Styela clava: one gene and its partners. The main gene of each other region encodes a partner of the protein of the gene in region 4 in a complex. Links are inferred from orthologs where the notes say so. Each region holds a gene or a part of one and is shown on either strand. Other genes may lie near its edges. The genes, in order: beta-parvin-like, scaffold protein ILK-like, integrin alpha-V-like and basement membrane-specific heparan sulfate proteoglycan core protein-like.

Region 1 (7,796 bases), on a different chromosome or scaffold from region 4:
TACTGAAGATTCCTTATTTCAAAAATGATTATGGGATAAAAATAAGATTTGATAAATGTAAGTAATGATCACATGAAAGGGTATTTATCTGCAGAAGTTGGAATTGCATAATTTACAATTAAGGACTTGATTTATCAAGCTAGAATTAAAATATATCACAGCCAAATACACAAATAATAATAGAATAATGATACATAAGCAGCATATAAAAACAACATACTTTAATATGAACATCTTCTGGCAATCGTATCGGTGCTTTATAATGGGCAGCAAGTGCTACTAGTAAATGAAGTATTGCAATAAGATTCTTTGAATGGATACCTGAAAAAGGTGAAAAGTCATAAACACAGCAGTAATGATTTCAGAAAAACACTGAATTAAAAAAATTGGCGCTCGAGAAGTATGTATGCCAATATGGAGGTCACCAATTTTGTTCGCCTATTTTACATCAAGTTATGTGAAGGGACTGAAACCTATGGGCAGGGGGATATTTACTCGGCTAACACAGACATTCCTCGAACTCGTAATAGCACTAAAATAAGGAAAATCGAAATAAAATTATGGCCCAACCTCAACCTGGCACACATACTTCGGGAGTACCAAAAAATTTTAGGTAAAATATGTCTCGAAAGAGCTTGTCTATAGTCATGGAAATGGCATGGTGTGGTTTTGAATCCTTACAAGATAATCAAGTGTGTAGTGGGCTAGTAACTGGATGAGATGTCATAATTAACAATATAATTAAGCTGTCTTATAGGCTTCACTCTTTCCCTTTAAAATATGAAAATCCTATCCTATTGAGATAAGTCAAAAAAAACTGATGACACAGAATGTTCCGATCATAATCATTTTCAGAAAGCAGTCTTGATAATTATAATTAACAAAAATGCGAGCTAAAATTTAAATTTTATTTTCTTGGATTATGCTTGTGTGTGTCCTAAAAAAAATTACATTGTAAAATACTTACTATCAACACTCCATTTAGTTTCATTCCAGCTTTGTATTTGTAGTTGTTGACTGACTTTATCTAGAACTGCCCTGAGTTTATCTTTTTGTCCTTGAGCTGTTTGCGTAACTTCCGGAACCTAAATGTTTCGTAGTACAATATCATATTTTTGTTGTATAGGTATACAGAAACAATGTCATGTCTAAATTTGAATTTATCTTGGAAAGGTATTAAAAATTATATTACAGAAAAACTCCCCGTTGTAATTGACTAGCTATCTCATTAAAACAGTGAGTAATTTTTACACTCAATATGAGCAAGATTGAGATAGGTTTGGCAGGAGTAAAGAAATAGAACGATAATAGAAAAAAGTCAAGCCAACCTGTAACTTGACATCACCAAGTTTTTCTAAAAGTTTCTGCAAAACTTGTCCATCAAACAAATCTTCTTGTATATTTTTAACAATAATTCTTTGTTCGACAAGAACATCATCAATCCATTCCATGAGAACCTAAAACAGAAGCAATCAGAGTAAGGCAGTGGTTTCCAACCTTTTATGGCTCATGGCTTTCCTGTTTATTAAATCAGTGATATTTATAGTGTTATCTTGATTGGTAGATTTCAAATCCCAATATGTTCAAACAATTTATACTCAGCAAAGTGAAAACACTCTGCGAAATAACCTTATCGAGCAATGAAACTAGGAAGAACGCGAGGTTTTCTTGTAAAGTGAAAAGTAAAATGAGTTTTGCGTCTAGCATTGTGGCCTTCTCTGACTGCGTTGTGGCCCCCTTGGAGGAGAACAGATGGAATAGGGTTTGTTCAAACAGATGAAACAGCCGGAAATACTACCAGACTAGACCTACTGAAATTTTTTTTATCTATATAATTTACCTATTAGCAAACATGAGCTGTCAAGATTAATAATTAGGTAATGTCCTTTGACAGGGTTTTCATCAACCATTATAATCAATATATTAACAGTAGTATATTAAACAAAAAATTAAATAAGAATAATGATATATTATGTAGTTTTTTTAATATTCACACATAAAGTGAGTGAGTAATGTAACGAATCCAGAGTTGTCAATCACACGCACATACTATTAGGACTAAATTAAACAAAATTAAATAATTTTTTTAAAGTATTTATTAAGAAATTTATGTGTTCTGTTTTTAGGTCACCCTGTACAACTCTAATGAAATTCAATTCACACCCGCTCAAGATCCACAACATCTTTAGCTTCTCTTGATTTTTGATCGATCATAGATCTCTCTTCTCCTTCTTCTAAATGGAAACTCGAAGGATCAATCTCTTGTGTGACTGTACCTCCATCAATTGCATCTCGAGCTTCTATGTCCAATGCATTTACTGCAAGAGAAAATCAAAAGTTAGAGTACACACTCACATTAAAATAGTTTCGAAAAAAGGAAGGAGTAAAAATTCTAACGATTTTAACAAAAGTAATTTAAGATACCACAATTATAACAATGTTTTTACTCGCCAAAGGCCAAGTTGACAAAGTTATGATTAAAAATATACTTTTGATGACAGTTGATAATAAGATTTGTATGATCAAAATATGGCCACATAAAAATTACAATTTGTGGCTTTATATTTGATTCAATATCAACTACAAATCAACCAATTACTTGGTGACACTATTCTGTAATTGGGTAATTTGTGGCATTAGTACATTGAAAATTTGAAATAGAAATAGCAACACAGGTCTTTATAATTTAACAAAAATTAATTTATATTTGATTCGATAACAAAGAACCTAGAAATCTACAATAGAAAAGGGGAGCGGCAACACCAATCTTTATATGATCTGACAAAGAATTGCCAATGTATGATAAAGTTCCATCCAATATCTGAATATACCAGAATCTCGTTGCTTTTTCTTGCGTCCAAGTGTTAATGAAAAAAATCCTTCAGATTTTTCCGGTTCCCTTCTTGCGGGAGATTTCTGGTATGACATTTTGTATATCCGTTGTTTAATTTCAAATTACAATGCTTCTAATTCAACTGAATTCATAAGTTTCAGAGTTTGGTGATGTGTTCATCAATTGTTATCAATTAATTCATTCAAATATTGAAATAATGAGGTACAATAATTTCACTATATCCAGATATATGTATACTGGTATATGCTGCTACCGCTGTTTCAGAATTAACAACATCTCCTTTCTGCCACATTCTGACATTGACAGAAACTGTTGAATGTTCGCGGATACCGTACGGTACCGGTACCGTACCTCAGCAGTTCAAACTGCGGAACTGTGTTCAGTTCAGTTACCGTATGCTACAACGGCACAATGGATTTTTGTGCGAATTCCATGTTAGATTATCATTTGAAAAACTGAACACTCTAGTCTATTTGTTATTAATATAATATAGTTCAACGTCCCGGTACCTCAAAAATCTAAATGATCTGTCGGGGAAGCCAAACGCACATATTATCCTGAAAACGCAATTACTGAATTAAGAATGAGCCGTATACGGCGGCAATACCTATGACGTCACTGGCACACCCACCGGTGCTGCCTCCCACCAAAACAAATTTGTATAAGTCTAATCACCGAAACCAAATATTCTTACAAATAAGTACCGGTACCGGTATCCAATCGGTTGTCTCATTCTACCGATGTCTGGCGTAGAGTTGGATTATCCGGATAGCGGTTATCCGGATAACCGATTAACCGAGAGGTATTTTACTATCTGATATCCGGATAATATTGTGACGGTTAACCGGATAATAGAGGAATATAAATAATGTATATGCGCATTAGTAATTTTTATATTTTTTGTTGAGTGGCGTCTTGACATCTCCCAGACTCCAGAGCATATAATAACACCTTCTATTCACACTACTCTGCCCATATTTAGCCACCAATTAGGTTGAAAAGCATTGAATGTGTGGGTGTGGGTTTGTGGCTTTTTGGTCAGGTGTGGCTTTTAGTTTATTGCGTGTATTGAAGGAACGCATTTCATGCTGGAACAAGCCATGACTTAATTCCCAATACTTCGTAATCTATGTGATCTGTGTAGCATTTCTAAATTTTTGGTTTACGAATGCATGTAATGTGCATGTTTTCAACTTCTTAAATTTTTCTATTGCGCAAAATAACCAATTTGTGGCTGATTCGAGCATTTTAAAATGTCTTTCCATAATAACTCTGTTCAACGTATCTCTCGATTGCGTCGACATACGTTGAAATTAAAGCACTTCTACTATAAAATGCCACCGCATTCTGCATATATGAAAATACGTAGTAAGCTGCACAAATAATATCAGTTTTTATTCGTATTTTTGCGATCTTGCAAATTTGAGCTATTAACAATAGAACTGTGTGGTGGTTTTTGATCAATTCGCCGTAAAAATCTTGCGAAATCGGATCTTTAAAATTAGCAGTAACTATCCGGTCAACCGGATAGTTAAAATATGGAATACCCGGATATATCCGTTATCCGGATAGTAAAAATTATAGGTATCCGAACTAACCCTAGTCTGGCGGATAGGGTAGTTTATCGCGCTATCCGCCAGAAATGTTCATGCATTGCAGCATTGGGGGCCCATTCAAATATGCGTAAGGATAACTCACACACAGACCGACCCTTCAGACGTCTTCAAAATGGAAAACCAATAGCGATGAACGTACGATCCGACCTTCGATTTGTAGAATCAACAGGCAGGATAAATATTCAATTCCGCCGAACTGATTGAGAGGACATCGACAGTTTGTCGTTTGAGGTTTGTTGGTTTAACTGGCATGAACAAACTACGGCCCGCGGGCCAAATCCGGCCAGTTGAGTAATTCAATCTGGACTGCCTAATGCTGCCATACCTAAACTAAAACCAAATTTTGATGTTTCAGCTAAAAATAACTAGGAATTTGGTAAATTTGCGATTCAATTTAGTTTCGGCACGAGGCCTATTGCTTTCCACGTCTGCTCTTGTAACACTGTGAATATTGTTCATATAATGTAACTTTTACGTCACACTTACATGGCCCGCCAATGTGGATGGGCAAATTTTATGGCCCTGGGTTCAAAAACCTTGCCCACCCGTAAACAGTGAGCTTGCTTTTGATTGCCAAAATTCATTAGATCTTGACTGATAACTCGACGCGAGGCAGAGGAGCACCATAGCCTATATGATTTGCAGTGTTTTCTCTTTTTCTCATCCTCCAGCTATTTTGAAGCCGGTACAATCCGGTCCGTGTACAGGACTCTCATATCGCCATGGATAACTTTTATTTCATTTTTTATTTTAACCTGATTTTTGTCATCTTGTATTTTATAACAGTGCACATCGTCCAGCAATTCATCATTGTGGATGGCTAAAATCTCCCAAATCATTCCACGGCACTTTTGCTTTAGTTGAAGTGGCGAATCTTGTGGTCTGATGGGTCTTTGACATGATCTCTAGAGGCCGGTTATTTGTCAAAACCATTCATGTTCAAGAAAACTAGAAAACCATTGGTTCAGTAGTTTTCTCGAACATGAGCACGAACAACTACAGGTTAGCAAAGCATTTCAATGGTCCACTTCAAACTCACTTAAGTCTGCTGTACCATGTCACAAATATTTGTGGTAATGCCATAACCATTGAAAGTAAAAGAAATGAGTGTGTTGAATTGATAGGCCTAGGAATAAACATGACAAATAATCGATAAAAATACTTACATTCATCTTTATTTTCCCAATTCGACCAAGCCATGTGCGCCATTGTGAATATCTTTTCTTTAGCTTTCTTCAATACGGTATCACAAAAAACACGTCTAGAAGTTGTATTGAACAAAACTAGCTAATTGACACAAAATTTGATATAAATAAGCTACTAAAAATTAATTATCAACGGATTTAATCTGCAATGAATAATTCAAAGAACATTCATTTCAATAAGTAATGCTTGTTTACTAGTCAAGTTCCAATGGAACGATTGTCACAAAATATAAATTAGGTTCGGAATATATTCTTATTCATTTACAAAAATTCCTCTTTCACTTCATAAACTCAACCAAACCAATCCTGACGTTTAAAAGAAATTCATTTGTTTGAAAAAGCACCGAAATCAATGAAAAATCACTGAAGAGTTTCAATAAAAAAAATCGTGGAATCATTGACAAATCCCTTTCTACAAAGGCTTTCGCCGTACATGTGGAATAGAATGCTCGCTTGACTTTTTAGTTTAAATCTAATACAAACAATATTCTAAGTACTCGCTTTCTTAGCCATAAAACTATTTTTCTCCCTATGTTTGTTAGTTTTACATATCCTGTGTATTTCTCGTTCATACTCTGACAATGTGGTGATAGCTATTGATCCTGCCTAATCTAAAAAGTATTCGCAATTCGAAAATACCTATACACACCATTGGGCTAAATATATTATAAGAATGCTATGATGTAAGTTTATGTGTCGACAACATCCATACTTAAACAGATCTTCGTGTGAATATTGTTATATGTATTGTGTTCTCATACGCCGACGTCTGTGCAATCAACGTCACAAAACTACAATATATTCCCAAAACGTGCATTTTATGCACTTAAAATACGTGATCAATATTTTATTCTGGGATAGAGTTTTATCAGTCTTTGTGAATTTATGTGAAGTCTGAAAGTCGATAAATTTAGCAAAATCGATTAACAAATAATTGATCAAAAAACTTCAACGTGCTTGAGAAAATTCACATTTGAAATTTTAATCTAACTAAAATATTGGGATGAAAATATGTTTGAAAATATCATAAAATAATAATCATCTTATATTGCTGTCGTTAGAGTACAATGTCGATAATGGTACACTAAAAAGAATGAACGACTTGTAGTAAGAACAAGGGCAATATCTATCCACGGTACTTTATATTTCCATCTTTCGTTATCACCTTCTAAGGCGCCATAGAAATAGAACGGGGAAATTATATATCCATTAAATTCGTCCCGTTTCGGATTTATTTTGATCACGAATTAAGACACATTACAACAATCCAAGTTTTCTCAGAAATGCGGATCAATTGCTTTGATTGTATGAGTTAATTTGTCTATATATAAAAAAAAGTCGATAGATAAATGAATGCCAATTTTATACAATAATTAACATAGTCCACTACATATTGCGATTTTTTAAAAATAACTAATATAAGATCCCGATTCATGAAAACTTTGCAACAACAAATCACAAAAAATGAAATTTTCTGTCATTTTAACCATAAGTGCCCCTTGTCTTACTCTCTCCATTCAAACTTCTCTCCATTCAAAAGCATAATTTACTTGTTCTATCACGTTTTAGGGAGTATAGAGTTCCAAATAAATACTCTGTCGAAAGAAAGCAGTTTAGGTACATTCGGTTCTTAAATACCATATTAGTTTTACATGGCAATATATTGCTGAAATCATTATCATTTGCCACCACTATAGTTCACTTTTTTACGGAACCTAAGAAAAGTATCGATTATATAGTTGTTTGCTACATTTGAACATTTCTCACCTGCCTGATCTTCCTTCATTATCTGAACACATTAAATTGACATTGAAACTCAAGCTTATTTCATGAAAGGCACAAAGTAATTACGTTTTTCGTTTTACATCAATATAATGAATAGAATTTTGTGAGTTTTATTCGTTTCAATATTTACATCGATCACTCTCTATATGTATTTTTCGCTTGAATGTGTAATGAGACAATTTGACACATTAAACTATAATATTAATTATGGTACTGCAGCAAAATTGATCAAGTTCAAAACTATATAATAGATCAATTTTGTCAATAACAGTTTACTTATAGATTACTGAATGACCTAATACGGGTTGCTATATAACGAAATAGCAAGCAAACTAT
Region 2 (7,881 bases), on a different chromosome or scaffold from region 4:
ATTTGATTTCTTTTGAAGAGCCTCTGGTGCCATCCAAGCGGGATTGTATAGTTTTCCTGGAGGTTGGAATGAAAATCCTGCATCACCCATGTTCACTTTGCATGTCATTCCTTCATCTATCATGATATGTTTGCTGTTGATCAACAAGCGGTCAATCATTGGTTCAAGTGAATGTAAAAATTGCATTCCAGACGCAATATCTATTGCAAAACGTAATGCAATCGATTGATCTACTGTTGTTGTTGATTCATGTAAGACATGGTACAGGGATCCATAACTCGCATATGGGCTGATAGTTGCCAGATTCTTGCTGTTAACAATCCCCATTACTGGCAGAACGTTGGGATTCGAAAAAATTCGTAAACGTAGATATTCTTCATGGAAAGCCCTTGATATTCTTGATGTTATATTTTTGACTGCAAGAATTTTTGCTAATATTTCTGTCTGTCCCCATCGTCCTTTCCATGTTTCTCCAGAATGTGATGATGCAATTTTACCTTTTAGATTTAATTGTCGCAAATCGACATTTTCATGGTTCATAGTTCCATTTTTAGCCCTTGTGCGGGTTGTTCCTTTCCATACATTCTCCGAAAAGGGAATTTTCGTTTTCAAATCCTGGCCTTTTGAACGAGCAAGCTCTGCTAGTCTTCGAGCTAATTCTGGCCTGGCTCTAGCAAGCGGTGTTTCTCCCTTTTTGTTACACATGCTCACAAGAGCACCACAAGACACTAGTTCATCTGCAGAAGCTGGGTGGTTGTTAAAACAGGCATAATGTAAAGGTGTGTTACCATGTTCATTCAAGGCATTCACCTCAGCCTTTTCTCGAATAAGTTTGTGGATAACATCAAGACGTCCCATTTGAGCAGCATTGTGGAGGGGCGTGTCATCACCCATGTTTGCAGAATTTACTCTTGCCCCTCTGGACAATAGCATTTCTACAATGGTATTATGGCCATATCTGGATGCCCAATGCAATGGACTAAATAAATGATCATCTCCTTGATTTAAATCATTTTCAGTGTTATCCAGCCAAACTTTGACTGCCATGAGGTTACCATCACGACATGCCGAAAATATATCATTCATTTTTGTTTTGAAATAAATTAAACTTTTTTGCTGCAATTAGTTCAATGATAATTTTTATTAGGTTATATCATTCTAATGAAAAGATGAAATTACATGATGGAATAAGTTGCTTGGAAGAAAAGCACAATCACAAATTCTGAGAAATTAGTAAAAATGACTTATCAATATGCTATACGGATTAACATCATATCCAGAGAAAACATTGCAAATTACTGTGGCAAGACAGTAAGAGAATAACAACACTGCATAAACAGGTGATACTGTATGAGTAAACAATCAAAAATCAACTCAGTTAACGCAGTTTCAATCTGCCTGTATATCAGATATTCGCACAACGTTCAGTGATTTGGGAGAGTACGAGTTAGCAAAATAACCCCACTGACAAATACTACTGGGCTGTGAATTCCAGCTTAGAATTATTCTTATAAACATTCAGCATTTGAATTAATCTTCAATCTTTTTGTTCATAATTACACAGACATAAAGTAGACCTCAAAATTCGAAAAAGGGTTATCGCTATATACATCAGTACAGATATAGCCTACCGCAGTGTCTAATGCTTGATATGAGAACAAGAGAGAGTTTTCATATAAACAACATCAATGATAAGAATCTGTTACTTAGTTAAATTACTGAATTGTAGGGATAAAGGAAGAAATAAGTGGATAAAAACTTCAGAGGCAGAGAAAGTTGAAATTATTGCTGTAATGAGGCCATGTGATTGTGAACCCAATCCATACCAACACACATTCAGCATCAAAAAGAATATTGTTATAATACTGTAATAGAACAAGTTGAGTTTGTTTTTTCCAACAAGTACAGAAGTGAAAAAATCAGTCTTACACAAATTACAGAATTAAGAGATAAAACTGATTCTGTGATGTTTAATTCATACCAGTCTGCCAGTAGACTCCAGTCTGTCAGTAATTAGGCCAGGGTGGTCCAAGGTTGTCGACCTCGCGGGCCACAATATTGCTAAAAACATGTAAACAGTGCAATACAAAACAAACACATTTATTGTCAAATACATTGCTCATTAATTGACATTTTTTTAGGCTAAAGCATGCAAAAACCACAAGAAAACTCACAAAAATCTTACTATATCTACATTTAGTGGGAGATTTCAAACTTTTCATAACGCAGAAAGTGTCATAAGGAAAACTGCCGTATTAAATTGTCACCGACACAACTTGCGGACATATCAAGCAAGCATTGTGGTATTTTCCCTCCCACACCCAGTCAAAAATATGTTTGAATTGGTCAGCTTTATTTTTAAACTCATGTTTAGGCTACAAAATAACTTACAAGTAACTGCAGATTGATTGGTTACCAAATTTTACCAAATTTGAGATACAGGAGGGTAGGCTACTAAATTTTCTGACATATAGGCAGCATTTTTAGTAATACTGTTTAGGTTGGTTACAAAAAAAACTGGCGGGAATTGTATTGTTCAGCCATAACCTGGGCTAATAGATTCCTCATTCGATTTTCAGTTTTCTATGATGCCTATTTTGTTAGCATATATTCCCGACCAAAAAGATGAAAAGCCAGAAAAGACGAAACAACACCAAATGCGATTTTCCGTTTACTCTCGCACAAATGCAGAATTGCGATGCGGGCCACATGTGGCCCGGGGGGGGGGGGGGGGGGGCCTGGATTTGGACCACCCCGTCTCAGGCCATTTTGCAGTTAAACGGGTTTTTCTGTTGTATGGAATAAATATCCAATACAGGCATGAAATACAACAACGTATGTACCGGTACCGCTTCACGTATTTAAATACGGTAGTCTACTATGCCGATGGTACCAAACCTGTGAACAGTTACCGTACCGGTACCGTAGACTGTTCTCCACTTCTTGTCTGCTCGTGGTTATTTTCCCCATATGAACTTCAGCACTGTAATACCTGAAATGGTGAATAACAATATGCAAGCCTGAAATAACATCATGGCTTGTTATATCTATCTTTCAGTATTTCCTATTAGGTACCGGTATAGGCTAGACGTCTATTACCGGTACCAAGTTTTCAACGAAAAACGCGCATTCCCAAAGTAGAAACTCAGTTACACCCAAATTTGGCAATGGCGCCGCACTGCCTTTTAGTGGATGGATATAGAATTTCTCATTCCCATAAGCCATAAGCCGACTTCCACCTAGGGTTGGGATTCCGGAACCAGTTTTTTAAATCCCGGTATCGGGATTTTTTTGGATTAAGTAAAAGATTGAAACAACTTGCATGACAATAAAATCACGTATTTATTTCATGTAATTGTGGATCATATATTAATATTCTAGTTCCAAGTATGCATAAATACTTATAAATGATAGTAGCCCATTTGTTAATTAATTTAATAACCTTTATATATTGTGAAAAAGTGATTAACTGCAATAATAATTGCATATTTAATTGTTCATATTCAACTGTGGGTCATATATTAACTACTATTCTATTTCAAAAGTATGTATTAATACTTAAGAATGTTGGTAGCCACTTTTAATTCAATAACCTTTTTATATCGTGAACTAATTAAGGTGTCAAACGAGAGTATCGGTCGGAGACCAAAGACTTATCGATCAAAACTGTGGTTTCGATTCATGACTCTATAGTGACACCGTGTGTCCAAACACCAATTAATTAATAACTCCCTAATTATACGACATAACTCTACCAAAATCAATAGCCATCTGGTCCTTGAAATGATGAACGCACAAGCAAAATTGGATTGGGTGGAGATTAAACCCCGCTTTCTTGAGATATCGCTTGCATCTAACAGACAGACAAACAGACAAAGATCGATAAACAAGATCGACAAGTAATGATATTTTTTACATCATGCACTCGGTCTATTACTGAATCTGTGATAATATTATTTTTCGTCCTTGGTATTCATTTTTGATCCCGGTCTGTGTCCAATAACAAAAAATATGCTTTTCGTGAAAATTTTTCCATTGGACATGTCCGGCTTCAACCAACACATGACCTCTCTAAATCCTAAATTGCCCTTAGTAACTTCCATAATACCATTAAATTGCCGACTCGTTTCCTTTCTCCTCGTATTTATTTTTTATATATTTATATTTAATCTCATTTGTATCCACCTATGATGAACTTATATATAGCACACACACAAGGGTCGGGAGCCTAGATGACTTTAATCGGTCTTGCACATCGACCCGCACAAAGCAATAATCAATTACTGTGGAATATTTTCGTTATTGTATTATGTTTATATTAGCACACCTATCATAAAACACGACTATTTTCTACCCATAAAGAGTGCGATAGTCGAACACGAATAAATGGATTAATAGTTACCGATATTAGAACTGTTTTTTTTACATTGTAAACGAGAGCTTCTTCGAAGCACCTCTCATTATTGTAAATGTTGCGCGGCCGCACGGGTAATACGTGGTCTTCAAACCGACGCTGATCACGCGCTTCGGTTTTACTCGCACTTCCACGTTACGCTTACGCCCTTATTATTCTCACATTAATTAATTCTCACTTTATCAAACAACTTAATTCATTTTTGTTACAATTCAATATGTTTCTCCCATTGCCAAAATCATTCAATAGTGTTATTGTCGGCGGTTGCGAGAGAAATGAAAGTGGAAACAAACTGTATTTCATTACAACAATTACCGTAATTATTATCCATAAAAAACACTAAATAGGTTTAAAGTAGTTATAAACAATTTTCACAGCTGGACGTATCTTTTCACGTTATGAATTTCGTGCAAGGCCCGAGCATAATTTGGCAAAGATCATAGCATTTACTATGTCGAAACGCTTCGAGCTTTCCGACCGCCGAAACTTTCCGAAAATGATAACCGTTTTGTGTTCGAGATATGGAATAATCGTCGATTCCACCACGCTTTCGTGAAGTAATGCAGTTTACTAAATATAAGGTTTTATTAAATTTCATTGCATCAGTGTTTGGACTACCACGCGTTTCGCCAGATTACTGACGTGATTACAGATCGCAAGGGTGGTCAAAAATCACAATAGTATATTTTCATCGAATCTAATCATTTTAACGAATTGTGGTTGAATTCGGGATTTTATTCCGATTTTGAAATTTTGGGTCGGCTTTGATCTTTCTTGTCATCGTTCATAAATTACCTGTCCCAATTTTAAGCTAAAAACCCTATCATTTCTGACGCCGGAATGCAGATATTCATAAAGACGATATAGTTGACCTTTTTTATTTTACTTTGTGTGGCTGTCCTATTTTCGTATTAAATAGTGAATAAAAACTCTGCAAAGTCAATGCGTGAATCCTGAATGCTAATTTGAGTTCAAATTATGATTAAATACGTCGGCAATAATGACAATTCTACTAGTCAAATAATAATTCCTAATAAATTTCGCACAATAATTCCACTTCCACTCAAACTGTAAGCGTGGATGGCTTTTTTTTAAATAAGTATTTAAATAAAATGGTATAACCTACCATTTGCGAGAATATCTATATGTGGATAACAAAGCCTTAAAATTCCGGGATTTTTAGGAAATAAATGCGGGATCGGGATTGAAAAAAAACAGTCCAAATCCCGGGGTCCCAACCCTACTCCCCCCCTCACTGGTTGGAAAAGGTAAACTACTGACTGACTAGGCTATCTGAACTTTTCCCCTGATCTACTGCGGTATTTTGTTTTAGATGAATAAACTGATTGATCATCAATTATGTGAAATTAAATGTGGCTATGAATCATATTTTCACGTTATCATGCCAGACTTTCCTATTAGAAAAAGAAGTTCGATTATTCTTATTATTTCTTTATTTAAATTAAATTTTAAATAGGTTTCATTTATTGAAAGAGAAATGATACTTATGTATTGTGTTCTGGTATAGCCTACAAGTGACTTGACAAATCAACAAATTCTGCCTCCGTATCTCTCTCTATTACTGACAGATAACGCATCGAGCTGGGGCTTAAGAATACGACGTCATTCACTCCGATGATTATCCTGTGTAGGTAAAAGGGTTTGAAACCCATAGCCTATGGATGATTATGTTCGAAAGGATCAATCCACGAGATAAATATGAAAATCATCATAACAAATGATACATATTATTTTACTGTGCTAACAATGCGAAGAAAGAAGCCTGTATATTTTGAAAAAAGCAATGCTCAAATGCATGGCCACGGAAACCAAAATGAAGTGATAAGGGTATGCAATTTGTCACAGTGAACAATCGGTGCCGTAACCTTCACGACTTCGCCTTGGTTATATGTACGATTTGACCAGAGCACCAAAACCGGCACAAAGTGCGCAATTTTTAATTTGATGACGTCATTGAACACAGTAATGAATATTTTCCAGCATCGACCTGTTAGTATGGTTATAAACATTGGCTCGAAAATTTCAAATCAATGGCTACTGCAGTTTATGGGAAAAGCGATTTTTGCGCAACATGAAGAAACACTAACAAGATGAACAACAATAACATAACAACAAAACGATTGGATTTCGTGTTTCAACCATGAGAATCGAACTTGAAACAAACTATAACGAAAATTATATATACTTCCACAAAAAATAGCCAAGACTCGTCTCCCAATTATCCGGAGCATGGACCGGAATATGTATCTGGAACTTAAATATTAGCATCAAATATTTAGCGTACATGTTTGGTTCTGGCTTTTGATATAATACAGGTGTCCAAAAAGTTTCGCCCGATTGTAGGATAGGATTTACATATTTATCCCGGGGGAGAGGAAAGCCGATAAGACGGCTTATCCATATGGCGAACAACAGCCTCTCGTCCGGTTACCATTCCAAGTCGGGTATGGGATTAGTTTTTACTGTATTGTTTGTTTTCGGAAGCATGGACTTGGTGGTGGAGGAAGCGAGGAGTCCAGCAATCCTCTCGCACATAACCATCCCTGCGTGGGATTCGAACCTGCGAACCCACGCAGAGTAATTAGAGGTGCGGTGGCGAGCGTATTCCTAACGCTTAGCCCGTTGAGCCACACCTGTTGTAAAGTCTTTATTATTGTAAAGTCTTTATTATCAAATATATATTTTTTTATTTTAAAAAAGATTTATAGTCGACCGGTTTCTTATTGGATGTTATAGATGTTGAATGTTGTAGTCCTAATTAGTCATACAAAAAAAATTATTCAAATTTGCAATTGGTAATGCTATGAAATCGGGCAAAACTTTTTGGACACCCTGTATATCAATCTTGATGAATGGTTCTCAGAATTTCGTGAACAGTCGAAATAACTCCAGTAATTTCGTTTTCACTTCAGTGACGGGCACCTTTTGTGGCCAGACAGATAGATAATTTATTTCCAAACTGCGCCACGACACAAAAATGACAATACAAGTCATAAAAAGAAAGATAAAGTCACACATGAAAGACCTTTTTCTAGGTATTCTGTTATGTTTGCTGCGAATCACGCAGTAAAATAAATTATCTTGATGATTTTCGGATAAAAATCTCAAAAAAAAAAAGAGTTATATATTGAATAAATTTCTGGGCCTCGAAATTGACGCAAAAACAGACAGTATGTAAGTAGATAGTTTCTTAAGAGTGAAAAGCACAGTTTCTAATCTAAATTGGTCGCTTCACGTTTGTTCTATTTTTCGCGCAGCATCACGTAAATGTCACGAACGCTGTATTGCCAAATCACTACCTATAACTGTATTACGATATTTTATTTCCAAATGTGAAGTGAAGGATCAATCGATATTGAAACGTTGTTTTGCTTATATCAGAGGTAGATACTGTACTCATATTATTGTCTCGTTTTATTCTTTCAATATTGCATTATCGTATTCAA
Region 3 (7,827 bases), on a different chromosome or scaffold from region 4:
GTATATTTCACCACGTTCTAAAGATTTTGGAGCTCCAACAATAAGCCTGAAAATAGAAAATTAATGCTTTTAATATTATAATATCTATATATATACTGAACAGAGGGAAAGACTTTGGTCCGAGATAAGATGAATGCACATGCAAAATCTGGATTAGAATCAATCTCGCTTTCGTAAGATATCGCGTGCATCTAACAGACATACAGGCAGACAAATACCTATCAACATACTTACCGATTAAAATCGATAAGTAATAATCCGAAAGGGGCGCGCAAGACTGCAAGGTTGACCGAGCCCTAAAGCAGATTCTTATCAGGACAAGGCACAGGCAAACATATTTACAATATTAAAACACTCCTTTTAAGTCAGGAGAAAAAAAATAATCATCATCGACTGCTTATAGATGGTTACCTAATTCATTACAACAATTATTCAAACATCGATATAAAACAGTGTGGAATTACGGTCCTGGTAAAAGAAAGTCAATATCTGGCGAAATTTATTTTATTTTAATGAATATTTGATAACCAATAATCGGTATGGTGAAGCAATCATGTGTGTGTGTATTTTGGCACAAAATGCAAACTAGGACTTTTTGACATTAAATAAACTTTTCATAATTTATCACAATTTTTTACATTATATTTTTTCAAGCTCAACTCATATGTAATCAGGTATAACGATATACATACCGGTATATAAAACGATTCTACAATGAGCAAAATGCAATTTTTGATTAAATGCGTTTAAAAAATTGTGGCTATACTTGCCATGATTTTGCAACCCAATGTTGGACATAGGTACAAAATCTAAGACAAGCTTGTTTTAACCCGCACAGTTTGCCATAGTTCTCTTTGTTTTGTGTTTTACTGGACAAGAAGTCGAGCTCATGGATTGTTCGATTCGCACTGTTTGCTGAAGTGTATTTTCATTTTTGTGCATTTAAGATTTATTGCCTGATTATATATCATGTATGTTCATTTTATTATGTTCTTCAACTGTTTTTGGTGGATGGGTCCAAACTTGTATGTTAAACTTTGCTTGCTATATTATGCCCGTCCTCCAGGTCTTCAGCATTTTGTTGGCCTACTTGTTTAGTTTTATGCCAGAGTGACCAAAATGAAATTAATTGATTGATCAAAGTTGGTGGTTCAGAATATTGAAAATTATGAAACAAAGTGTAGCATAATTATCTTTTCCATCATAGACATTCCTGTCAGTCTAGATGTCAGGCTATTACATCAACTTTCAACCCGAATAACCCACAAACTACATTGAATAAGTTGTGGTCTAGCCTTGCCAACTTGTATTAGGCAGAAACAAAGCTAATTAGTCTAATTAATTCCCGTGAGATGTGATCAGATGTTATCAATGTCTATGGGGAATAACTAATAGCATACTCATGTCTGTTGTATGTCCTGTATTGTCTGTGCCTTAACATGTTCCGAGATATTATTTTTAGAAGAGCACATAGTATGTGATGGGTAATGTTTAACAGCTATACATTAATCTATTCAAGCTTGGACAAAATATAAGTTTCTTCTTCAACTTTTCATTCTGAAAATTTAGAGACATATATCTCTACAAGCTTTCCAGAGACAATGTGATAATTTGGGAGAGAAGAAGAAAATTTGGATACATGTAACACTCACAAGCTTTCTAGATAATGAGACAACTTTTTTTATTATTCATATAAGTTTGATCAAAGTAATGTCAATAACTAATGGGTGGTTCACATAACTGCTGGTCGGTTGAGGCTTCCTCTACCATCAAATCCATGCATCTGAAAACAAATACCTGGCTAACTAATCCCATACCCGACATGGACTGGTAACCGGACGAGAGGCCGTGGTTCGCCAAATGATTGAGCCGGCATATCGGCTCTTCTTTCCCTTTGCAATTTTATAAAAAGTTGAGACACCCTATACTTCTTTGAACATTCCTAATTTCCTATTGGAATCACATGATTTCCAAACCACTAATATTTGCAATATGCAGTATTTACTATCTCTTGCTGTTTTCCTGATGGTATGGATGTTTCCCCGACCCTTGACCCCGAAATATTTTTTCCTATATAGTACTAAATAAAAAAAAAAATTAACCAGAGAAACATCCATTGAATTGAACTGCTTCAGGTTTCGTGTCAATCAGTATTTACTAGTCTGTAATGCAGGGGTGTGCAACCTTCAATACTGGAGGGCCACATACAAATAACTGGGCCACACCTTTATTTAACATAGGCTCTCTAGTAATTGCAGGCACAAAAAATATGTTGTTGATATTATGATATGTTGTTCGTTTCGCACAAGCTAGCTGTTAGGGCATTGTGACATCATAGGCATAGATAATAAATTTGGTTCCGATATAGGCTTTGCAACTTGGGAATTACTCGCACTCACCAGATTGAACTGAATTAAAAACTCGTTTCAAGGGCCGCACATCATTTAAAATTGGCACTTCTCCGCAGGCCGCACTATTTTTTCTTGTGGCCTGCAACCACAGTTTGCACACCCCTGGCATAATGTATTACTATTAATCTATATACTGTAGTTTCAATTTCTCTCGAAACTTTCTTGATCACCCGCGACTTTCCTCAGAAATGAGTCTTCATTACTTCTCTGAGTGTGTGCTTGTAGCTCTGGGCATTTCAGTAGTTGTCCATAACTTTGCTGAGAGATGAATCTTCCTCACTTCTGGGTGAGTGTTCGTGACCTTGCTCTGAGCAAAATATTATTAAAATATTCACTTACCAAGATTCGCCTTCACTTGAGTACATTCCTACTGTGTATCCAAAATATGATTTCTTTTCCGGTATCGTAACAAGAGTAGGAAATTTAACATCCAAATTAAATCCTTCCACATAATTGTGAGTCATAAATAAAAGGCAATGAAGCGTAAAAATAGTCAATAATATATTTGAAGTCCTTATTGAAAACCGTGGCATGGATTTTGAAACCATAATTTGTCTATTTTCAATTGATTCAGTAGAGGAATGCCCATGCCCTGGCATGTCTCTGTGTTGGCATTTTGTCATCTGCTTCTGGTCTTCTGTCATCAGAATATCCATTCCAATTGTGATTTCAGTATGATGTCACAATGCACCAAAGGAAGACAAAGGTTATTAACGGTCAGATAAAATTAAATTATGGATACAGTGTCTGCTAAATGTAGACAATAAACAGATAATAGAATGACATGAATTTCCTTTATAATATCTATTTATAAATGCAGAAACTCATTTAAATTCTAATCTCACAGAAACACAATTCCATGACCATAAAAGGAAAGTAAAAGAGGTGACATTACTTCCTTGAATAATGAATGGTTATGTATAGATTAAAAGAATTTCAAATAGGAACTTTAATAATATATTCTCCTCTGCTCATAAATACCTATACCACACAAGGTCGAGAGACTGCAATAGACTTGCCCACAGATGTATAATATTCTCATTTATTGAAAAACATGAGTAACACCTTCTGGGATAGAATGCTACATTGATCCATAATTTTATTTACTTATGCTTTGCAGTCATATGTGACTGGCAACTTAATATTGCTTATATATGGCACGGATATATTACTAACAAAACAGAATATATCCCAAGCATGGCAGTATATGACTAAAACCATCTGTAACAGATTAACTACACATAACGCTGCATAAATACATGGAAAACTACTAACTTGTGCAAACATCGTAACTGGTATTATCGTAACTGGTATTTTGTTTGGTGGTTCCTGACTTGAAAATTAAATAGCACCAAATGGAGGGTTCATGCACTACTGAAATGAACAACTATAACTTAAATGTCTTGCAACAATAACTGACCACATTTGCCAGTTAGATCAAAAGTCAACTGGTGTATATAAATGAGGAAATGCGCCTAGTTTTGTTTAATTCGTGCAAGATTGCTCCAACTTGTTCCTAACGAAAAATAGTATTGACTGAAGAGGTGCAGGAAACCACTGGTATGCTAGGAAATATAGATAGGTTAATTTTTCAATAAAGTTGTCAGTGGATAAAGGTTGTCACAATATTTCAAACTGATCAAGTTAACAATGTCTTGAGAACATCTACGAGGCAAAACATTGTAGAGGGAATTTTATAAAGTACATCTGTGTGGACGAAATAACTCATAGAATGAAAGTTTTGTTGGTAAAGATCTATTGCCTGTGTTTGTCTTGGGCCATATTTTTCAAATGACCTATGGTGACTCTAATTGTCTGTATTAAATGGACAGCTATAACTTAAATGTCTTGCAACTATAACTTAACTGAACACAATTTGCCGGCTAGATCAACAGTCAACTGATGTATATAAATGAGGAAATGCGCCTTGTTTTGATATAATGATTTCAATCATAAACTTGCTATTAAACACCACTTCCTGCCTCTGCCGTGCAGGTGGAGTTTGACTGAAACATTCTGACAATATATAGTAGACCAGCCATTCCTAACCCCCTTTGACACATTCCTCTCTTGGCCTTTTTAAGTTTCAAATTCCTCCCTTGGTTGTTTAATCTTTCAGGAACAATTGCTCGCGATATGTGCAACTTGACTTTTTAGTACATTTTGAATAGGCCATAATGTATGAATATAATATGCAATAAAGAATACCAAATAATTACGAAATATTAGCAAGACATGCAAATACAAAGAAAAACTATTCATATTACCCAAAAGCATTCTAATTCGGTCGGGAAACGTTGAATTAGACCAACTTTCGTTAAGACAAATGTAGTATTTTAGGCTGTTACAAACTCATTGAAATATAGCTGAAAACAGGACCAACAAAATGTAAAGATCTGTTTTAATTCAACAATATTGTAAACGTTGATAGTAGTAAAAATCTGCATCGCAATGTATTATCGCTTCAATTCGCAGAAATCTGAAATTACGTTCAGCAGTAAGAACTGCGTGGGCGGGCAAGCCAGGTCGAATGCCGCATCACAACGCGCAAAACTCGAGAAAAATGCCGCCATTATGCCTGTGCACACAACGTTCGCGGCGTTACTAGAACGCTTTACAAAGTGCATTGAGATTGAAATGAAGCGAAACTCTGACTCGACCACGGCACGAAATCTGGTCGATTTTATCTTATCTAGACATATTTAATTTGCGTTGAACATAATATGGTCTTAAATGTCATGTAAATAGTTTCCCCCAAGGACGCTTTTAAGCTCATTGTAGATGAGAGGTTGGAAATATAAAGTTGGAAATATGGTCCGAATCGCCGATCAATTGGTACTACCGAAATATGTGAACCAAGATGACGGACACCGAAACCTAGTAAGCGTACCAGGTTAGGGTTAGGCCATAATTTCTGGTACAAATACTACGGGAGTCATATTGCTAGTCCCCGAAGTCGTAAAAGAACTAAAATAATTACTACGTTCCGGTGTCCGCCACCAAATAATTGGCCTGCTCTCATATAGAAGTATATTTGAGTGCTATTTGGACACCAGATTTGATTTTAAGGAATTACAATCACATTTACGGGTATAGCTATTGTGAACCGCATGCTGTTTATCACGCCCTTATTAATCATGTCGTTTATCATCTGCTGAGCGCGTAGAAGTGTAAATAGCTAACTATGGCAATTTGGAATGTTGAATATTTACCCATCGACTGTTTACTTCCCGTCCTATGGGTAGACGAAACAGATAACCTTTCTTTGATAGCCAGTTAACATATTTTTGTGGTTGGAATATATTTTCTTACGATAACGCCCCAACGTGTAAAACACGATACTGACACCTGCGCGGCTAATGTGCTTTAGAAAATATTTGAATCTTTCCTGTACAATAGTCCAACTAATTAATGAATATATGTAATGTTTTGCAAACCACACGAAAAGCTGTCTTGTAGACATTGAGCCATTTTCAATTCAATTTGTAATGAATATGCCAGTGGTTCTCAAAACGGTGGGGCGTAGGCAATTTTTTGAGGGGCGTGAAGCTCATTAAAAATAAAAATATTTGTTAAATTTGATCTTGCTCGCCTTATTTTGGATATTTACATTTCTTTATTTTGGATATTAACGTTCGATCCACATCCACATTTTCAACGTGTTTTCCGAATAAAACAAACTTTCGCCTTACTATCTGTTAGTGTAGCTTATGTCAGCTACTTTTTGAGATGAGACGCGAAACTTGACGAATTCTGATAATGGGGCTCGGCTTAAAAAGTTCAAGAACCACTGAAATATGCGATTGTGCCTAACTCGAACCTTCCTTCATCCTAATTTGCTATTTTACCTGGTACGGGCTTCATGATACAATACGACTGACAACTTACCACAAATTAGTAGCGTCTAACAGTTTGGTATTCTACACTTTAATAAACATGCGGCGCTTTGTGCATTTGATTATTTTAATCTTCCCATTCCCGATATTGCCACAAAAGGGTTACCGTACATTTGAACCCACGTACATTTGAACCCATGTGTATATCCGCGGAAATCCCGAAATACGATTTGGATACAAAATATTTTGGAAATCCTGAAATACGAAAACCCTTTATATTACTCTTTCACATACTTTTTGCCACAACTTTTTTTTTTCGCCTTTACTACGACTAGTTGGCACAATAGCAGAATAATGAGAATATCATCTGTATTTTTTCTTAATATCACAATACCAAAACCCTTTACCAAACTCTCACATATACATTTTGCCGCCACATTACGCCTCGCGTTATTTTACTAACATTACCTACTGAGATAAAAACGAGAATATCGGTCGGAGACTTATCGAAAACTAATTAATAACTCGCTAATTATAAAAAAAATTATTAATCAATTAATAACTTAATAATTCTGGTCCGAGATTTGGTGAATGCACATGCAAAATTTGGAGCAGATTCAACCACGCCTTCGTGAGATATCGCGTGCATCTACCAGACAAACAGACAAATACCTATCAGCATACTTACCGATCTAAAGATCGATAAGTAATAACGACAATCAACATAACGAACGAAAACGATAGGTCCACTTCTTGTCCAATAAGAATAGTTTGGCAATAACCTAACGTAACTTATTCTATGAGTGCTGGGCGCAATAACACAACATATAAACACATCTGTATTTTTATCGCAATACGATAACCTTTTACTAAATTCTCGCAGATTGTAGCACCATTGTAGCATGAACACACGAGACATACGTACAATTAATTGCCTCAAGATTAAGAGAAAATGATAGCGCGATAAACTAGCCTAACTTAGTGGGGCACAATAACATAATAGAATTTGTATTTTTACGTAAATATTGCAATACGAAAACCCTTATCTGAACTCTCTTTGCTGTCATTGCAGCGCATATGTAAGGCATTTTCAAAACACATGAGACAAACGTTCAATTAATTGTCTTCTACTGAGATTTGAAAATGATAGCGCGATAACCTAACGAATGTGGCGGGTCAATACCAAAATAGCGCCTGTATTTTTACTTAAATATCGCCATACGGAAACCCTTTACTAAATTATTTCACAGATACTCCTTTCGCCGCCATTGTAGCGCGCATGTAGAATATTTTCAAAACACACAAGACTTACGTTCAATTCATTGCCTACTAAGATTAAGAGAGAAGGACAGCGCGATAACCTAGTCTAACTATAGTGGGGCACAATACCAAAATAGCATCTTTGTTTTCACCAAATATCACAATACGAAAACCTTCAACCAAACTCTTATAGCTACTCCGTTTGCCGCCATTGTATCGCGAATGTAAAAAAAATTCAAAACACATGAGACTTCAACAAGCAAAGAGTCCGAATCCCTCGAGGCTATTTTGAAAACTAGTAGTTATTACTTCTTATTTTC
Region 4 (7,259 bases):
TTTGAGGCAGTTTGTTCAAGTTATACAGTATATCCATCGTGATTAGGAATACGTTGAAAGCAGTTTGTATTGTTTATTGCCCTTCCAGAAACTTCCGAAAGCGGCGTGTTCGGGAATGTGGGAAAACGGCAACATATCTGACCAGCCTCCGAACCTCCAAAATAAACATGCAAACCTGCAAGCCAAATATTGAGTTTCTGACAAAAAGTTTTGATTCTTTAATCTTTATCATGTTTAATTATAATGAATGTACTCATTTCATCATGTATTTTATATATCTACATCGAATGCTCGTATTTTAGTTATCTTTTGTGGAGTACTGCATGATATTTTGTTTCGGAGTTTTTTGAATTTGGGGATGGTCATTGCTCTGCTGAGACTCTTATCAGCAGCGAGTGGAAGCTGGTGATAATTGTTCAACAAATGTTCTCAATACATAATTATATTAGAACGAATGAATCACTAATTTTAAGCAATATTTCGAAGCAAAACTTAGTGTTCTGTTGGTAACGCGTTGGCATTGCAATCAACTTTTTTTAATAAAATAAAATTTCACCTGTATTTATTGGTACTTGAAAAAGAGTTTTTCATTTTTATTTATTAACATATGCAGCAGAAAATGCAACCTCTTGTGTTTCTGTATTACGGTGTATTACAAAATCTGATTCAAGAATCATGATTAAATGAATAAATATATAAAATTTTATTGAATATAAAAGTAGCGGATGGTTTGCATCAATAAATCGACAGAGTTGCAAGATGTAAATGTAAGCATTCCTATGCGCAACGTTGCATGGATTAGACTCAGATAAGCATGTTGATAAGGGATATAAGCCTATTAGTTACAGCAAGATGGGTTCAAAAAGTTAGTATATTTTAAACTGTGAACTCATGCAGGCTAATTAAAGAATTTCTGCTTCGTGAAATACGCCCAAAGTGAGCTGTGAATGGAAGAGGCATACACGAACTGATCATTCGAAAAATGTCTTTTGTCGACTTGTGTGGTCAAATATATCCGGTAGTGCAAGCGTTCCTAGCATCCTACATTGATACCGTTTCCAATTTAGACTCATCGTTTTAATGGCTGTAATGAACAATTTGAAAGCGCAATTTTGCGGGAATATTCGCACGAAATGTGACATGGTTATTTTATATTGTAAGTAAACCACATTGGTTTCGCACATTCTTTGTACATAAGCAGATCAATAAAAATAATCAAAATTAGAGCCTAGAAAGGAAAAGTACTAGATTATATATCATACAATAATAGCATGCTTCTGCTTCAGCTCTTCAATGACCTACATATAAAATCCCACAGGACCCGGCATTTAAACGCGCAAATACAGTTGCTGATGGTGATTTAAAACCAGAGGCGTTGTGAGATGGCATTATAATTATCACTAACTGCATCATGCAATATTGTATTTTTATATTGCAATTCCATATTTTGCATTACGTAGATACAAAATATCTGAAACTAACAGTGGATAATTAATTTCATAGTTGGTCAATTTAAATTACCTTGCGCCATCCATAACGACGCATGAAACCAAGTAGACAAACTATGAAATATTTGAATAGAACGGAGCGTAATCACGAAAAGAGATCTAAATAACGATTTTGTTCAAATCAAAACATAACTGAATCCTATTTCCCAACACACCCAATGGTGCCATACTGTCGGTGATCATTTTTTGTAAATCCAATCGAAAGCGCAAGCTGATTTTCACATTTATGGAGAACGTTACAGAATGATTTCAGTATACCCTGTGTGATGGTTTTCATTTGCCAAGTGTGAGTTAGTGGGTGGCCGATCAAATTATTTTTTGTTCGGCAGTTCCGGTTCATGTCCTGGTCGGTTTGCATTGTTACATATGCTAGAGCAAGACTATAGAAATGAAATTCTAACATTTTCTATTTCAATCATCAAATTGTCACCGTATTTGTGTTATGCGAAGCGGGAGTCGGGTTTGAAGTATATAATCGAAATTATTTGCCGTATCGACAGGGAAGTCAAAGATATACTCCTGAAAGAAAACTCCTTCCACGAATCTAAAACCGTGAGAAAATGCCATTACGTCCATTTGTTGTGAAAATTGCATTTACCTCCTGGAATTTATTACTGCAATCGCTAATGATTTAGAAACTAAGATTGAAAATTTTAAAGAATCCACCGACAATAGAATAGATGGCTCTTTTACAAGACAAACCGTATAAATTAAATTAAAAAATACCAATCATATTTCAACATATGTGACTATTTTGATACAACTTTGATGCAGATAGGCGTTCAAAAATAGAAAAAATCATAAAACACAAGAGCCAAATATTTACATGACGTTTGTTTTTTACTTAAGACTTCAAGCGTTACCGAAACACGAATCTCAATCCCGCACAAAGTTCGGGTGGTCGGTCACTCGCACAAAATATAACCCCGTGACCGATCATAGGTTACATTTTATAACTGTTTGAACAACAGCTTTGATCATATACACACATTAAACAAGGTCGTCGTCCGAGACTGAAGACTTTATGTCCAGGGTCATGTCATGTATGTTGTTATATCATTTGTTTGTTTATATACGTAATGCTAGAAATCGTCAAAGTTTAAAAATAAAACATACGAGCGAAGAAATTCTTGGTTGCACTGTTCAATGAACGGACACATAGGTAAAGCTGAAATCCAACATGATTTGATTTGTAATCCTTTATAGACACAATACATCAGAGGCCATTGCCCATAGAGTACGAGATCCAAAGGCACTTGAAATCGGCTAACATTTGTTATCGCAAATGCAATTTAGGAACCTGAATCCAAATGTGTTGAAAGGGTTCTTATATGGGAAGTCAAAGTCCAGTCTTTTGTAATAGAGATTGCAGCCGATTAAATTAAATTACTCAGAACAGTCTACTCACCAAATTCAAGTCTTGTGTGGCGAGGCATGTGGCAATTGCCAATGTGGCAAAAACGCCAAGCCATAACATATCCATTTCGGATAAATCCTCTTGGTAATTGCTTCTTAGATTTCTCTTATATCCTTATTGTTGATTATAAAAAGGTCTATCGTAAGCAGATTTCTCTTAATCACAAAACATACAAGCGAACTTTATATTTTGAGTCCCTCTTGGCGATACTCCTAACTTAATTACGTTATCTGGTTATTTAAAACTAAATATATAATATAAAATTCAAGCTGACAAAATTGAGTCTTCGACTAGCGTTTATATCGTGTTTTACTCCCGAGAACGCCCGGAGAATTATCTTCCATTCGCCGGGATTTATGGTAGTGTGCTTGCTGCGATGTAACCAACACAGGACTGTGTAAATCAAATTAAAGATAACATCGTTAAGCGATCTTAATTAAGCCTTAACCGTTGAGGAACTCGCCAATTAATTTCGGAAAATGTCTGGGAATTAGTGCCGATGGATTTATAAAACACTACGCTACTTTTAGCCTCAAACTACGAAACCTATCCCAACTGAAAATTCACTAAAGCAGAACTCTAGCTTATTTGTAGTGAAATGAATAGCTTGGAAGAAGAATATTTTTGTACGGCGTTACAACGGGAATTGTACTTTGCAACTTGGTCGACTATGCTAAAGTTACAGCTGATGAGATAATAGCGAAGGCTATTTTGGAGCGCTGACTCATACTCTACGAATTTAGTCTGTCGTGTTGCACAAGAGCTACATTTCTACTGAACTGGCTTCGAGAATTGCCACAAAAGCACCATGTTGGCGACCGTATTACTAGCTTTATACAATAGAGGTCAACAACGTACTAATCCTGCTTTAACAATGTCGTAAACTGCCACCGTCGACGACAACTCACGAAGTGTGACCAAATATACGGTGCCAAGCATTTTCTTCGTCGCGTCGCCGTTTTTTCTTCTTCGAGGCGCGGCTACGTTAACCTGGTTTATTTAGTCGCGTTTGCCCCGTCGTTTATATTTGCAATGTAAACGTCCGATGAGAACGTACTTTATCGTCCGCCGGTAACAGATCAGACGGTACGTTTCCGTTCCGCAACTCCGTCGCCGCCGTCTTATGAATAGGCTGAGATTTAGCTCCCTGATGGGCGACGGCGTGTACTGGGTCAATATAAATCCCATTTCGTCCGACCTTGAAATATCTAGTATATTGCGATTATACTACTGTTATTTAAAGAAGAATTTATGAGAAATTCTATACTTTTCCGGGATGAACCACAAATAAGTAAGAGTTTTCAAACAAAATTTGAAAATATTTGAATGTGATAACTGTCAAAATTGCTTCGTTAATTATTTTTAAAAAAAAATGTCCATTCGTAGAGTCTTTACCCACATCTGGACAAAGATAGTTCAAGACTGATTATTCTTAAATTAGCTGGTAAATATCAGAGGTAGTTACCAATTCTCCACGCAGATCAAAATACAAATAATTGATTCTTTTCAGGCGATAAGCTATATTCATTCACCACATTATTCGAATGCAATAATTTTCATGAAATTAACCAAAAACGAGATTTTACAAACCATGACACTTGGTATTTTTGCTAGCTTAATCAGTACATCGAGTTTGATAGAAAATCCACATAATTTGGCACTGATGTACGATTGAGGCAGCCAATTGTCGGTAAAAATGAATGGAAAGTTTCAGTATATATATATATATATATATATATATACTTGAAGCAGATCTATAAGGAAGCGTAAAGTGACCTAAAACGAAATATAGTTAGGACAATCGCTTGTATTACTGCTTTAGTTATAACAATTGTTGTAGAGTCTAATGCAATTATTTGTGTAAAAGTTCGTCTCAAATGTATCTGAATCTGAACTTTGAAACCGAAATTAATCATCGCAGTATCCCATCATATCTTGCTCGCCTATTTTATGCTCAGTTGTCTCGAATGTAAGTGTATCTTTGCTCTAAATGAATCATCATAGTTTACCATCATATATAAAACCTTGTGTGTATAAGATGATATGGCTAACAAGCGGGTCTTTCTATGACATTTGGCTGACGTTAGGCTGTCGTATTGAAGCTCTGAGGATAAAAAATAAAATCGAAAATGTTTAATTATTTCAACTTCAATATTGTACACCAGTGGTTCCCAAACTTCTTTGTACTGTGACGCCCTCCGAAAAATATACTTATGTTGCGACTCCCCATGAAAACGTCATATGACCTTTCAATAAAAGAACTTTTTTGCAATGAGTTTCATTTAAACCAGGGGTGGCCAACCTATGGCGCATGCGCCAAACGTGGCGCATTGCATGATTAGAGGTGGCGCATTGCATCTTTAACCCTTTTCATGCCAAAATTGTTAATTGCACTTGGCTTCTCCACGCCAAGCCGTTTTTTGCGATTTACATGGTGACTTTTGATTGTACCTAAAATCTATTCTCCTTACTCCACGCCGCCCACTTACGGCTTGTTGGAATTAGAAACAACAGGCGATTATCGACGTTAGCTTTTGGACGGACTTTATGACATTCATTCTAGACTTTCAGCAAAAGTTAGTAAAATTTACTATTTTTTCCCTACTGAAGTAAAAAGTTCAGAACTTCTGGAAAAATAGAAAATCGTCATTTATCAGCTTGAAACATAGATTTTCCATTGCCCAGACTCCCCAAATATCTCCCAATAACCATTGAACAACCAGTTGAATTGCCCAAGCCAAAAAAATTTATTATAAATCAACCCACAACATGCTGAAAATGACCCCTAAATACCACCTTTTTCATCCAAACTTCAAATGACCGTTGTCAACAAAAGCGAAGCGTAAAATCGCTTGCTGTGACGCAAGTACTAATCTCGAAGAAGCCTGGAGTAAAATCACGCGACGCTAGGCCAAAAAGCTTCTTAATCGTATCTTTTTCTCTTCGTCGTTAAAAACAGATTTATTGCGTAATGCTCATAAGACAGAATGCGTTTTTCTCCTACTTTCAAAAAGGCTGTAGTTTTTACTTGAAGCATGGCGTCACAATGGTTCCTTGTTTCGTAATCAATCGTAATCTGTTTATCGTAAATTGCTCGAATTTTTGCGTTTGCGTTTTATTATACTTCCTTGCTTAATTTCTATTCATGTGAAGTTGTAAAAACTACATATATGTGTGTATATATGTATGTGTATTATAAATTAATATAATTTCAACAAGAAGTGGACATTAGGCGTGGGAATACAAGAGAATGAAGAGATTTACGGCGCATCTGAAACATTATGTTTAAAACGTGGCGCATGGTATGTGAAAGGTTGACCACCCCTGATTTAAACGGACAAGAAAAACTTGACGAAAGTCAGTAAAATCTCATTTAATGTGCATGTACTTGCGTCTTTTTACAATTGTTATATGTTATTGAACCTTGGGGTGAATTGTGACAGCTGCACACATTTTTCCAAAATTTACTCAAAATCGATATTTTTTCTTTATTACGCCATGGTAGAAAAGCTTGTTTCACATAAATACGAAGAAGGGGTGAGAGTACGCAACCAAGGAAAGATAATCTTTATCCAAAAAATTCCAAAAACTCGGTAAATTTTAGGAAATATAATTATTTTTTATATCGATTCCGTTTAACAAAATGGCAACGAAAAGCCGGAATGTGTTGTTTGTAGCAAGGATTTGGCCAGTGAAACCATGTTACCTAACAAAAACGAAGGAGCCTTTTTACTCGGAACTTCAACGATACTAAGTACAAGTAGCTTCCATCATACTTGCGAAAATTCTCGACTTTTCTCGTGCAGTATCATTTTTACGCTTGTACATTTATTTCTGCAGTGCAATTTTATAATTAGACTTTTGCTACGCACCGCAAAACAGGTATAATTCCGCAAGAGAAGAAAGTTTTACGACCGCCGAGCAAAATTGTAACGACGCACTTTGAAAACCACGGTTGTACACGAACCTATGTCAGAAGTAGTATCGTTCGAAATGATATCACAGCGGGATCTTTCGCTACTGGATCGTGTTATCGTGACTTATTTGCATTCTCACGCGATCGGAGTTTATTTTTTATCTTTGCATGTGTATGATACTGAGCGTACATGAAATACAAACATGAATATTTGCCAGTTAGTACTCCAGCTGAGTCAATCATCAATATTTTAGGTTTTCCAAACAGAAGACTTTAACTAGGCCTTCGACACTAAATTGTGATGCACAACTACAAATTATAAATCTTACGAAATCAAACTAATAGAAATATATATTTTGTAACCCGAAAATGATTCATTGGATTACTAAAGATGCCGAGTTCTTTCTCACAACACAAA

Evidence for each region.
Region 1: basement membrane-specific heparan sulfate proteoglycan core protein-like (region 4) and beta-parvin-like share a complex: the UniProt entries of both Caenorhabditis elegans proteins name them as parts of the integrin containing attachment complex. The link is inferred for Styela clava from reciprocal best matches to the Caenorhabditis elegans genes unc-52 and pat-6.
Region 2: basement membrane-specific heparan sulfate proteoglycan core protein-like (region 4) and scaffold protein ILK-like share a complex: the UniProt entries of both Caenorhabditis elegans proteins name them as parts of the integrin containing attachment complex. The link is inferred for Styela clava from reciprocal best matches to the Caenorhabditis elegans genes unc-52 and pat-4.
Region 3: basement membrane-specific heparan sulfate proteoglycan core protein-like (region 4) and integrin alpha-V-like share a complex: the UniProt entries of both Caenorhabditis elegans proteins name them as parts of the integrin containing attachment complex. The link is inferred for Styela clava from reciprocal best matches to the Caenorhabditis elegans genes unc-52 and pat-2.

What each region holds. Positions count from the first base shown.
Region 1 is NC_135255.1:14,758,040-14,765,835, forward strand, and holds the start of beta-parvin-like, read right to left. Parts: upstream 3,076-7,796; 5' UTR 2,929-3,075; coding exon 2,832-2,928; intron 2,319-2,831; coding exon 2,164-2,318; intron 1,458-2,163; coding exon 1,329-1,457; intron 1,086-1,328; coding exon 968-1,085; intron 322-967; coding exon 221-321; intron 1-220. UniProt on the Caenorhabditis elegans protein: Involved in the regulation of cell adhesion and cytoskeleton organization. Component of an integrin containing attachment complex, which is required for muscle development and maintenance.
Region 2 is NC_135261.1:8,305,178-8,313,058, forward strand, and holds the start of scaffold protein ILK-like, read right to left. Parts: upstream 3,132-7,881; 5' UTR 1,087-3,131; coding exon 1-1,086. UniProt on the Caenorhabditis elegans protein: Probable pseudokinase that acts as an adapter protein. Component of an integrin containing attachment complex, which is required for muscle development and maintenance.
Region 3 is NC_135263.1:3,185,906-3,193,732, reverse strand, and holds the start of integrin alpha-V-like, read right to left. Parts: upstream 3,162-7,827; 5' UTR 3,068-3,161; coding exon 2,751-3,067; intron 47-2,750; coding exon 1-46. UniProt on the Caenorhabditis elegans protein: Required for muscle development probably through the regulation of the actin-myosin cytoskeleton. Component of an integrin containing attachment complex, which is required for muscle maintenance.
Region 4 is NC_135251.1:19,814,901-19,822,159, reverse strand, and holds the start of basement membrane-specific heparan sulfate proteoglycan core protein-like, read right to left. Parts: upstream 3,184-7,259; 5' UTR 2,992-3,183; coding exon 2,917-2,991; intron 1-2,916. UniProt on the Caenorhabditis elegans protein: Component of an integrin containing attachment complex, which is required for muscle development and maintenance. Probable structural role in myofilament assembly and/or attachment of the myofilament lattice to the cell membrane.